2 linked regions of the Schizosaccharomyces pombe genome follow. Changing the gene in region 1 together with any one later gene gives a genetic interaction. Each region holds a gene or a part of one and is shown in the gene's direction. Other genes may lie near its edges.

Evidence for each region.
Region 2: mutations in prt1 (region 1) and bfr1 impair growth when combined (synthetic growth defect), as found in Schizosaccharomyces pombe (one study listed by BioGRID).

Annotation. Positions count from the first base shown.
Region 1 is NC_003423.3:794,299-799,634, forward strand, and holds prt1 (transcription factor), read left to right. Parts: upstream 1-2,000; 5' UTR 2,001-2,284; coding exon 2,285-4,573; 3' UTR 4,574-4,696; downstream 4,697-5,336. Other genes in the region: Tea1-anchoring protein Mod5, read left to right, coding at 1-759.
Region 2 is NC_003421.2:709,347-717,343, reverse strand, and holds the start of bfr1 (plasma membrane brefeldin A efflux transporter Bfr1), read left to right. Parts: upstream 1-1,925; 5' UTR 1,926-3,336; coding exon 3,337-7,929; 3' UTR 7,930-7,997. UniProt on the Schizosaccharomyces pombe protein: Confers hyper-resistance to brefeldin A (BFA), an inhibitor of intracellular protein transport. Could serve as an efflux pump of various antibiotics.

The DNA of each region.
Region 1 (5,336 bases):
AAGGCTCGACCTGTATCTGTGCCAGATATGTCGTCTCCCGTACCTGCTTCTTCAGTTGAATATGAGTCTCTCAAAGCCGCCGTTACTTATTCGCCTTCTCAAAATCCCAAGAAGGTTGCAGAAACCGATTCTGAATCTCGTAAATCGTCTTTTCAATCTTCCTACAATGATGCAGATCGACCTTTCCAGGTTGGCGCGCAGACGCAATCAACACCGAATCGCATTTCGAGGAGTGATTCTCCTATTGTATATGATGTAGACACTCATTCTGAAGACAACGCTAGTACAGCATCTTCGGAAGCCATTTCTCAATCAATGCGTTCTTTTCAACCTCAACCGAATACTGGGAGTCCATTTCCACGTTTTACTTCCACCAATACTGAAGATGAGCAGGAGTCAGATATTCCTCAATCGGATGCCAATGATTCCACTGTGAATTTGAACCAACCTAACTACGCCAATTTAACTCCTACACCTCAAGTTTCACCGAAACGACCTACTTACTCAAGAAGCTCACCTTTGCCTTCGGCTTCTGTACCCGCCCTTGGTGATGGGTCACCAGATCCTCCAGCTGCTCCGTCAATTCAGAATTCTTTGAGTGTCCACGAATCTGAAATGCCACCTCATGTAACCAGAGACTATACACAACCAGCTGCTAGTGCAACACCAGTACCTAAAGAAAAACCTTCTGAAAAAAGTGAAAAACCTCCTAAAAAGAAAGGTTCCAAATTAGAGAAGTTTTGTTGTATTTTGATGTAAAATTTATTTTTGTTTTTTTTAATATTTTAAGGATTGGCGTCGAAAGCATGTGTCTATGAAGGATTCAGATATCCAAAGGAAATCGTAATACTTGAAGGAATTAATTTAATGGTTGTTCACGTGCGTACTTTCCTGTCTGCTTATATCCATATTATATTTCCGTTTTAATGCATACTCATTTCAAGACACGTGTTATCATTAACGTTGATTGGGATACACATAACCTCTAGAATTACATGTTTCAAATCTTTTTTTTATTGTGGAGCGTTATGTTAAATTTTTTGCCTTGTTTTTTGAACAATAATAACATATGAACATTTAGTATAGTGTTTTAGCAGGAAGAATTTCATATTTTTTCGAATAATGAAAACTAGAAACGTTGAACTCATGTGGTGCATATCGCGTTAACTCATACTAATTTATACCGGGTTCGATTGGTCATGGTTTTCAGATCTCTTTAACCTGGATATCCGATCTTGGAGGTTAAATGGCATATTCTTGAGGAACTTTTAAATTTCTATTTGGTTTAACAAAGGATAGTCTTGCTTGTCCCACATTTCTTTTTCTCTACGAACTTCACTTTATTTTAGACTGGGCATGAATTACTTTGTACGACAAATAGAACAAAAGGATTTTTTTTTCTTTTGTTCATTTAAATCGGTGTTATGAATGAACGACAGACCATTAAAAGAAAAAGCAATTTATTTCACCTCACTGATTTACAGTCATTGGTAAGTTGGAACTTATAATTTATAGCTTTTGGAGTTTGGCGAGTTTATGAAAGCAAAATTAAATTGAAAAAGCTTTTTTTTAATTTTCTTTTTCGCAAAAGCTTTCTGAAATCTAGTGTCGAACTTTTATGTTTGCAATGTAGGGATGAGATGTTTTTTGAGAAGTCGGACTTCGGACTTCCTCCGATCCGTCTTAATTCAATTTTGATCCGTTTCCAAAGAAAACAAAAAGCTTTATTTTTAATTTATGTAACTTTTCGTTCTGTTTTTCTAATGCTACCCCTCAGGTATGTGGTAAATGTACCTACCTGTATAACTTAGTTTTTGTTCGCAAAAACTATTTTGATTATTTAATTTCAGTATTTAATAATGAAATTAAATCAAAATTTGAACGACTTTCATCAAAATTAATGAGCTTCTGTATTTTTTCTACATTTATTCCCAATTGCTCAGCACGATAAGTTTCGTAAAATCGGATTGATATAGTAATCTACACGCATCAACGTGACTAACACAACTTGGTTAAAAATTTTTATCGGAATTGTTAAAAACGAATAATTGGTGCTTAATTTATAAATGAAAGCTTTATTTCATAATAAATCGCTTACTGAAAATACTTTTTAAGGAACATTTTTTGGACCCGCACATTTTAACTACTCAGAAAACGAACGTCCTATATTGTAGGTATTGCTAAGTGATTGGCTTTTTTATTCTATTTTTTAATATCTTTGGCATATCTTAATATTTGCTAATCGACTGTCGTTGCACTTGTACATTGAAAAAATTGTTACCGGATGGAAAATTTGAAATCAGCATCGCCGGAGGAAGACTCACCTCGCCACGGGGATAACATGGGGAAACCAAAAAGAATTCCTAGAGCTTGTGACATGTGTAGAAAAAGGAAGATTCGCTGTGATGGAAAGCAACCTGCATGTTCGAATTGCGTTAGTCACGGAATCCCATGCGTATTTACAGCTAGACCTAAAAGAAGAACAGGTCAGAGACAAATGTACATTAAGTCGCTCGTTTCTAGATTAGAACAAATGGAGTCTACTCTGAGATCCGTAATTCCGAACTACGACCAGCAGCCTGATATTATACATCCCTCCTCTACTCCCAAAAACTATCATGATCTAAACTGTACGAAAGGCGAAACTTCTTCCGATGACTCCACCGACGATATAGCGTTTTTGAATGAAAAAATGGGGACTCTCGTCACTACTCCGATCGGTTCTCAAAAATATTTCGGCTCTTCATCTACCTTTTCCATTATTCAACATGCTGCAAAATTTGCATCAGGAGTTGAATCCGATAAAGTTTTAGAGCATCTGTCCATGGCTAAATCGGGTTGTTTGTTTGATCCTGATGAGAGTTTCGATGGCTCAAAAGCCGAATTACCTTCTTCAGAGATTGCCAATATATACATAGATGCCTACTTCAAATCATACAATCCTTTATTTCCTGTTTTTACAAGAGAAAATTTTTACCAAAAATTTGGTTCCCCAAATTGTTTCAAAAAACCCGATGGTTCCATTGATCTGGTTAATTATGCTTCATACGTTGTTGTTTTATCTCTTGGTTGTCTTGCTATAGCGGATACTGAAGAGCAAGTTTCCCGAGCTAATGCTCTATTTAAAAACACTCTCGGAATCAGTATTGAAGTTACTAAAGATATGAGCTTCCGTACTCTGGTCTTCAATTTTCTTACTTCAGTCTATTATTGCGCAGTTTCCAAACCAAATGCGGTCTGGTTGAACGTTGGTGTAGTCGTTAGAGTTGCACAAACGCTAGGTCTTCATCGAAACAGTGCAATGTGGTCTATTGGAAAGGAGGATGCGGAAGAGAAAGCTCGTTTGTTTTGGTATATATATTATTTGGATAGAGTATCCTCGATGATGACAGGAAAACCCGTTGCTTTTCAGGACGATGACATTGATCAAATGGTGCCATTTTACTCTATTTATTGCTATTATGGACTTAAGCCACCCGAAGGAGATCCTTTGGGTACTTTTAACTTTTTGGAAGCCGAGGTGCAGTTAACGCGAATTGTTGGCCAAGTCCTAAAGGAACTATACTCAGTGAGTGGCATGAAGTCTAATTCTTCTCAAGTTATGGAAAAAATACTTGAGTTTGACCTTTTGCTAAACAACTGGTATAACAGTCTTCCCGACTGTATGCAACCTCGGAATCGTTTTAAAATTCCCAAATTTTGCTCGAGCAATCTGATTTTAACATCTGCTATTTATTATTCATGTTTAATCCTTATTCATCGTCATTCTCTTACAAAAAATCTTCAGGTGAATTGTGTCCATAGAGGGACTGGCTCTATAACAGATTCTCAAGCTTTATGCATTGCGGCAGCTCGCTCCATTACAAATCTTTTCGTGGAATCGGTTGATCTACAGCCATTGATAATGAAAATCATTATGTATCATGCCTTTACATCTTCGATTATCATCTTTATCAGTATATTGAAGCGGCCTCTTGCTTCTATATGTTCTGAAGATTTGAATTGTTTAATTTCCGTAAAAAATCGTTTAATAAGTTTTGAAACACATGGTTTTGTTCGTTTGAATGTCGTTATGGATGCTTTAGAAAGTATGATCTCGACTGCTCAGGCAGCTATGCAAAAGGCTAAGCAAATAGCAATCAATTTTAGCAGCAACTTAGCTACGAACGAAGATGTTACTAATTCTGGCATGCCTGATATTGCGGATGTTTCCCTAAAATCGCAAAGCCATGTACCACCACGTATATCCAGCAACCATTCAGATACAAGTGTTAAAAGCAATTCTCCCTCCTCTATATTTGATAACAGCGGGTATCTGAACTCTCTTAATAACAGCATCTTACAAATGCATCAAAACCTCCAAAATTCATCTAACACAAATGACCAGTATAAGTTTGATTCTGTTCAGGAAAATGAGCTACATGCAAATATAACTCCCGTGTTAGATCAAACAATGTCAATGTTCCCGTTTAAGGATCAGTTAGATCTAAATTTTGCTGCTGCTAATGTTTACAATCCTAATGTTTTTGATGATATGGGTTTGGATTGTAGTTTTTATGGGAACGGTCTATAATTAACCTAAATTATGTTTTATTAAATAGACGTCGTTGTCTAGATGCGCATGATATGATAATCCTTTTGTTTTGTTTTTGTTTACAGATTTTTACACCTTAATAGTTATTTTATTTATTATTTGGATGGTCCGTTTCTGTACGAAGTCATTATCAGTCCTTTGGACAAATTTTCTAAATTGGCAAACAATTATGAAGAATGCCCTAATGCTTTTATAGCTCACTAATTGTGAGCATGCTTTTTAAAGGACTTTTATATGCATGTGATAATTTTAAGTCCGAGATTGTCTTTCTTGATTGACAGCTAGTGCAGTAAATTCGGAGAGCCAATGCTCGGCTTCTTTCGTATTTTGGTGGTCTGGCCCTAAGGTTTCCTTTAATATGTCGTAGGCCACGCGCACTGCATGCAATGCGCTACGACTGTCCTTGTTAAGAACCATTAGTTGAGCCAGCTGTAAATACAGAGAAGCAGTAGGTGTAGTTTTGCCGAAAATTTTGTCTGATAGATCGACTGCAATTTGCAAACACTTCTGACTCTGAATGAATTTTTCAGAGCCATGTAACATAAGAGAAAGATTAGTAAATGAGTTAATAGTATTAGGATGATCTGGTCCAAAAACCAAATACCACAGCTTTAGTGCATGCTGCATATGCATCACTGCCTGCATTTCATTTTTTTGAGAGAATTCATATAGAGAAAGATTCATATAAGCCAAGCTGGTTTCCGAAGAATCAAATCCGAGGAATCGTTCACAAACAATTACA
Region 2 (7,997 bases), on another chromosome or scaffold:
CAAAGCAGTGCGAAATGACACGTTAAAATGCTTAAGTGGATGAAAAAAGAATTTAATTTGCCTTAAGTATTTACATATTTACCTATAGAGAGAGGTAAAGAGATGAGCCATATTGCATTCACGTATTTCGTGCCATAGTATTTGTAGCCGATTTGGTAGGATTGCTTCATCAACATGTTGGACCATGTTATTAACACATGATAGGCAAGTTTACGATGGTCTTCGCACTATGATGTCCAACTTTTCGCAGCATCGAAACGGACAATTTTTTAGTACTTTGAGAGCGATGCGATCGAGCTGCTCTCAAAGTGTCAAATTTGCCCAGTAATTTCGACATGCGCTCAGTAATAGAAACTTCTCGTACTGGGCACACTAGCTAGAAACATGGCGCCCACACACAGTCGGACAAACGATGAAGACGCAGTACAAAGTAGGCAAAACAAAAACGGGAGACAGTGGGAATGTAATCGGTCAAGAGAATATTTCGCTCTCTACAATTTCTAGCTACTCAATCTTCTACTTACTAACAACTGATCCAATGTGCAGCAGTATTTATGCTAGAAAGGAGAAAAAGTCAAAACCAACTTTAAAGTCAGTTTGGCTATTTACCTTTTCAAGTCTTTATGGGAATAAAACAGTAGCGCAGCGTAATATTACATAGCGCACTCGATCGTTACAATGCAATTCATCTTGCAAAGTGCAGAGAGAGTGCATGAACATATTCTATACTGGACATCCATTCCAATTTAATCAGATAAATTAAAAAAAAAACAATTGCTCACAAATTCTTCAGTAATCATCTCTATTCGTAATCCTTATCCTTTATCCTTGCAAATTTGAGTATATCTACTCTCCTTCGTAATCTTCCCGATCGCACTCCTTTATTCCTCATTATTCCATTCAACACATTCTCTTTTCCTCGTTATTCTTTGCGCTTACTCATTTCTTACTAATCAGATCTGCAAGAGCTGCATTTGATGCCAAATGTGCGACACTTCTCAAACGCGAGGTGCTCGGACATCGGGCATCGGAATTTAGAAATTAGCCTCTTGCGTATCGCTGTATCGTGATAACAGCAAATGCTGTAGTTGACCGCGCAGCGGTAATTTCGGAACTTGGACGATCCCGACTATGTTTGAGTGCTTCGCTGCTAGGAAACGCTACTAAAGAGGTTTACGAAAACGCTATTTGTCGTTAAATTTACATTACTGAGAGAGTGAGAGAGCAAGTGTCTATAGCTAAAAGTAGCGCAGGAGAGGAAACGTTGAACGCGTAGTTAAATGGAAAAAAGGTAGGATTTGTCAGGTTTTAAACCAATATTCAAATTCATCAAGTCATTTGAATAAAAAATAGACCAAGAAGTAGGAAGTTTGAATGAAAATAGAGAAACTTTTCACTCACTTTTGTATTTCCCTTTGACATGTAAACAAAAGAAAGATAAAGATGAGCGCTCGTACCAGATGGACGATTCGGGTCTTTGTTGGTTTGCAAAACAATCTCTGAAATTATGAACAAACAAAAGAACTTTGTAAAATAATAAAAACTATGCTAAAGTCGGGGGAAATTTCGAGAAAATTTGGGCTTTTTCTGAGGTTAAACACTTTATAAAAGGGATTTTGGACTCTTTTCTCAATCTTTTTGATTCAAGAGAATCTCGCTTTTAATTCATTGAAATTTTTTTTGTTCTTTCTCTCATATTACACTCATTTTTATCGGTTTTTCATCTCATTTCGTCTCTAAACCCTCTCTTTCTTGTTGCGTCTCTTATTATCGAGTTGTCTTAGTCATACTATTATACAAGGCAAATTTATCGCTTGCTTGCTCCTCGGTGTTTAGTCGATCGCTTTTCTATGACATCACTCCGGAGAGTCAAAGCGCCGAACGAAATTGTTTACTAAAGCGAGTCAGCGGCCACCATTTTTTTCACATCATCTTCCTAGCGTTTGGCAGTTCATATTAAAGAACGAAGAAATTGCTCCCTACTTTCTCGATAACCAACTTGCTTTCTGGTTTATCCTTTGAAGCGCAACGAAACGTCGTTTTTATTGAGTTCGTAGAGACCGTTATCTCGATTTAGTTCCTTTTTGTTTGGTTTTCAAGCTTTTGTTGGAGTTCAGGAAGCTTTAGCTTTCTTACCTTTTCTCCCGTTTCCCTTGCATTTCCATTTCCCTCTTCCTACCTGTCTTCTAGATACATTTCTTTCCTCTTGCGGAAACTTATTGGATTCTCTTTCTTCTTTTGAAACGTGGCCTGCAAAAAGCCATTGTTTTTCAGGAAATTTTGCTTTTCTTATCTTTGAAACTAGTTCCTCTTCTAAAAAATTGGCGTTGCTTCTTTCTTCTTCCTATTTGCCCCTTCTCTTCCCTTCTTGTCATAAGCATACCTGTGGTGCTAGGTTTTCATCCCTGCTCCTATTATAAAACTTTCATTTACTCGTATTATTGACCAGTCGTCTTTCACTTTTTCAGTAGGAGTCTGAATCAACACGAATTGGCGATTCGTATTACGAGCAATCTCACAGGCAGACAAGAACGAAATTTTTTTTCCCCTATTGCGTTTGGGAAAATTCACTCTAATAAAAAAGAAGCCTTCTTTCTATATATTATAAAATATATATAGATAGATAAATATTTTTTATACATACAACCGTATACATATCTATTTATCTATATTTGTTATAGTATCTATTTGAACTTTCCAAAGGAGATCCTTCATTTTTTTATCTTCTTCCTTTAGTAATCTTACTGCTTTTTAAGCCAAGCTTAAAAAGTACTGTTCGATTCCCCATTCGTTCCTCTCCTAATTTTAAATTATTTTCTTCACCCACTTGTTAAACAATAAAACTTTTCTCTTCAGTGTACAGTGAGCTCGGTTGCTTACTTCATCATCACTCACTAATTTTGTTTGAAAGTCTTTCTGGTTGCGATTCGCTTTCGCTTTTTTTTTAAACTTGTTGTTGGTCGTTTTCCCTAGCGTTTTCGTTCAATTCACGTACTTTCGTTTGCGTTTTTCTTATTATTTTCACAACTTGAAGTTTACTGTCTTGTGAAATAGCGTTCTAATTCTTCTTACGTTTTGGTAATTTTGTCGTTTATTTTATTAAACTTTTCATTTCTCGTTTTTTTTAAATCGTTGGACGTCGATCTGCTTTTTTTTTTCAGCTCGATTTATAGAGTTCAACTTGTTTCAATTGTATCGTGGTGTTTTCAAAATTTTTTCTTTTGAATCGTTCAATTACTAATATAAAACATCATTTCCGGTTTTTTCTACTTTCTTTTTTCCTATCCTGTTCTATTTTGATTTGTTTCCCTTTTATATTCCTTTTTACATTACGAAATGAATCAAAATTCGGATACTACTCACGGTCAGGCCTTAGGCAGTACTTTAAATCATACCACCGAGGTTACGCGTATTTCTAATTCCTCTGATCATTTCGAGGATTCTTCTTCGAATGTTGACGAGTCTTTAGATTCTTCTAATCCTTCATCCAATGAGAAGGCATCACACACTAATGAGGAATACCGTTCAAAAGGTAATCAAAGTTACGTCCCATCTTCATCAAACGAACCCTCCCCAGAATCCTCATCGAATTCGGATTCTTCCTCATCTGATGATTCATCGGTCGACCGTTTGGCCGGTGATCCCTTTGAACTAGGGGAAAACTTCAACTTGAAGCATTATTTAAGAGCATACAAAGATTCTTTACAACGAGACGATATCATCACTCGTAGTAGTGGTGTCTGCATGCGCGACCATAGTGTTTATGGCGTTGGTTCTGGATATGAATTTTTGAAAACATTTCCTGATATTTTTTTACAACCTTATCGAGCTATCACTGAAAAACAAGTGGTGGAAAAAGCCATTTTAAGTCATTGTCATGCTCTTGCCAATGCTGGTGAACTGGTGATGGTTTTGGGACAACCAGGTTCTGGATGTTCCACTTTCTTGCGTTCAGTTACTAGCGATACTGTTCACTACAAGCGTGTCGAGGGAACCACTCATTATGACGGTATTGACAAGGCCGACATGAAAAAGTTTTTCCCCGGTGATCTTTTATACAGTGGTGAAAACGATGTCCATTTCCCATCTTTGACTACCGCTGAAACCCTTGATTTTGCGGCTAAATGCCGTACCCCAAACAACCGTCCTTGCAACCTCACCCGTCAAGAATATGTGAGTCGTGAGAGGCATTTAATTGCTACCGCATTTGGCTTGACACACACTTTCAATACCAAGGTAGGTAATGATTTCGTACGTGGTGTCTCTGGTGGTGAACGTAAGCGTGTAACTATTAGTGAAGGTTTTGCTACTCGTCCAACTATCGCTTGCTGGGATAATAGTACTCGTGGTTTGGACTCTAGTACGGCTTTCGAGTTCGTCAATGTCCTTCGCACTTGTGCCAATGAACTTAAAATGACATCCTTCGTTACTGCATACCAAGCTTCGGAAAAGATTTACAAACTTTTCGATCGAATTTGTGTACTTTATGCCGGTAGGCAAATTTATTATGGACCAGCTGACAAAGCCAAGCAATACTTCTTAGATATGGGGTTTGACTGTCATCCTCGTGAAACAACTCCTGACTTCCTCACTGCTATTTCTGACCCGAAGGCTAGGTTTCCTAGAAAGGGTTTCGAAAATCGCGTTCCCAGAACCCCTGATGAGTTTGAACAAATGTGGCGCAATAGTTCTGTATATGCTGACCTTATGGCCGAAATGGAAAGCTATGACAAACGGTGGACCGAGACTACTCCTGCTTCTTCTGAAGCCCCCGAAAAAGACAACTTTGGAAGCGATATCTCTGCCACTACCAAGCATGAGCTCTATCGTCAAAGTGCGGTAGCGGAAAAGAGTAAACGTGTTAAGGATACCTCTCCGTATACTGTGACTTTTAGTCAACAGTTGTGGTATTGTTTAGCTAGGTCATGGGAGAGATATATCAATGATCCTGCATATATTGGTTCAATGGCTTTTGCTTTCCTTTTCCAATCTCTTATTATCGGTTCTATTTTCTACGATATGAAATTAAACACCGTTGATGTATTCTCACGTGGTGGTGTTCTTTTCTTCTCTATTCTGTTTTGCGCACTTCAGAGTCTTTCTGAAATCGCTAATATGTTTTCCCAACGACCCATCATTGCTAAGCATAGAGCTTCTGCTTTGTACCATCCTGCTGCAGATGTTATTAGTAGCTTGATTGTCGATCTACCTTTCAGATTCATTAATATTTCGGTTTTCTCAATTGTGTTGTATTTTTTAACAAATTTAAAGAGGACTGCTGGCGGATTTTGGACTTACTTTTTGTTCCTTTTCATAGGTGCTACTTGTATGTCTGCCTTTTTTCGATCATTAGCTGGAATTATGCCCAATGTTGAATCTGCATCTGCTTTGGGTGGTATCGGTGTGCTTGCAATTGCCATTTACACTGGTTATGCTATTCCTAATATCGACGTTGGATGGTGGTTCCGCTGGATTGCTTATCTCGACCCGTTGCAATTTGGTTTTGAGTCTTTAATGATTAATGAATTCAAGGCACGACAGTTCGAATGCTCTCAATTGATTCCGTACGGTAGTGGATATGACAATTATCCTGTAGCTAACAAAATCTGTCCCGTCACCTCTGCAGAACCTGGAACAGATTACGTTGACGGCTCAACTTACTTGTATATTAGTTTCAACTACAAGACGCGTCAATTATGGAGAAATTTGGCTATTATTATTGGATATTATGCGTTCTTGGTATTTGTCAACATCGTCGCCAGTGAAACTCTTAATTTCAACGATTTGAAAGGTGAATATCTGGTCTTTCGCCGCGGCCATGCTCCTGACGCTGTAAAAGCAGCTGTCAATGAAGGTGGAAAACCGCTGGATTTAGAAACTGGTCAAGATACTCAAGGTGGTGACGTTGTTAAAGAGTCTCCGGACAACGAAGAAGAGCTTAACAAGGAATATGAAGGAATTGAAAAAGGCCATGACATTTTCAGCTGGAGAAATCTTAACTACGACATTCAAATAAAAGGTGAGCATCGCCGGTTACTTAATGGTGTGCAAGGCTTTGTTGTTCCAGGTAAATTGACGGCTTTGATGGGTGAATCCGGTGCTGGTAAAACCACTTTACTAAATGTACTTGCTCAACGTGTTGACACTGGTGTAGTAACTGGCGACATGTTGGTTAATGGTAGAGGATTGGATTCAACTTTCCAACGGCGCACTGGTTATGTACAACAGCAGGATGTCCACATTGGTGAATCTACGGTTAGAGAAGCGTTGCGTTTCAGTGCTGCTCTACGTCAACCTGCTTCCGTTCCTCTTTCGGAAAAGTACGAATATGTCGAATCAGTCATTAAACTTTTGGAAATGGAGAGCTATGCTGAAGCAATTATCGGTACTCCTGGCTCCGGATTGAACGTAGAACAACGTAAGCGTGCAACCATTGGTGTCGAGTTGGCTGCGAAGCCTGCTTTATTGTTGTTTTTAGACGAGCCAACTTCTGGTCTAGATAGTCAGTCTGCATGGTCCATTGTTTGTTTCTTGCGAAAATTAGCTGATGCTGGTCAAGCAATTCTTTGTACAATCCATCAACCCAGTGCCGTACTGTTTGATCAATTTGATAGATTGTTACTGCTACAGAAAGGTGGTAAAACAGTGTACTTTGGTGATATAGGAGAACATTCTAAGACTTTGTTAAATTACTTTGAATCTCATGGAGCAGTACATTGTCCTGACGACGGTAATCCAGCTGAATACATTTTAGATGTTATTGGTGCTGGTGCCACTGCCACTACTAATCGTGATTGGCATGAAGTTTGGAATAACTCAGAAGAACGTAAAGCCATTAGTGCAGAGCTAGACAAAATTAACGCTTCATTCTCAAACAGTGAGGATAAAAAGACTTTGTCAAAGGAAGATAGGAGCACTTACGCCATGCCTCTGTGGTTCCAAGTCAAAATGGTCATGACCAGAAATTTCCAGTCTTATTGGAGAGAGCCCTCTATATTGATGTCTAAATTAGCACTGGATATTTTCGCTGGTTTATTTATTGGATTTACATTTTATAATCAAGGTCTCGGTGTACAGAATATTCAGAACAAGCTTTTCGCTGTGTTTATGGCAACCGTTCTTGCAGTTCCTTTGATTAATGGTCTTCAACCAAAATTTATTGAGTTGCGTAACGTCTTTGAAGTTAGAGAAAAGCCTTCGAATATTTACAGTTGGGTTGCATTCGTATTTTCAGCCATTATAGTAGAAATTCCATTTAACCTGGTGTTTGGCACGCTTTTCTTCCTTTGTTGGTTTTATCCAATCAAGTTTTATAAGCATATTCATCATCCTGGTGACAAAACTGGTTACGCTTGGTTGCTTTATATGTTCTTCCAAATGTACTTCTCAACTTTTGGCCAAGCTGTCGCCAGTGCGTGCCCTAATGCTCAAACAGCGTCCGTTGTCAACAGTTTGTTATTCACATTCGTGATTACATTTAACGGTGTTCTGCAGCCTAATAGTAATTTGGTCGGATTTTGGCATTGGATGCATTCGTTGACTCCGTTTACCTATTTGATCGAAGGATTACTTTCTGATTTGGTGCATGGACTTCCAGTTGAATGCAAGTCTCATGAGATGCTTACTATCAACCCTCCTAGCGGTCAAACATGCGGTGAATATATGAGTGCTTTCTTAACTAATAACACAGCTGCTGGAAACCTCTTAAATCCTAATGCTACAACCTCATGCAGTTACTGTCCATATCAAACCGCTGACCAGTTTTTGGAGCGGTTTAGTATGCGTTATACTCATCGCTGGAGAAATTTGGGTATCTTTGTTGGTTATGTGTTCTTCAATATCTTTGCGGTGCTTTTGTTGTTTTACGTATTCCGAGTCATGAAGCTTAGAAGTACTTGGCTTGGTAAAAAGATTACCGGAACTGGTTAAATGTATTAATATGGGGTGTTTTGATGTTTTTAAGTTTTATGGTCTTTTTTTATACACTTTTTTTCTTT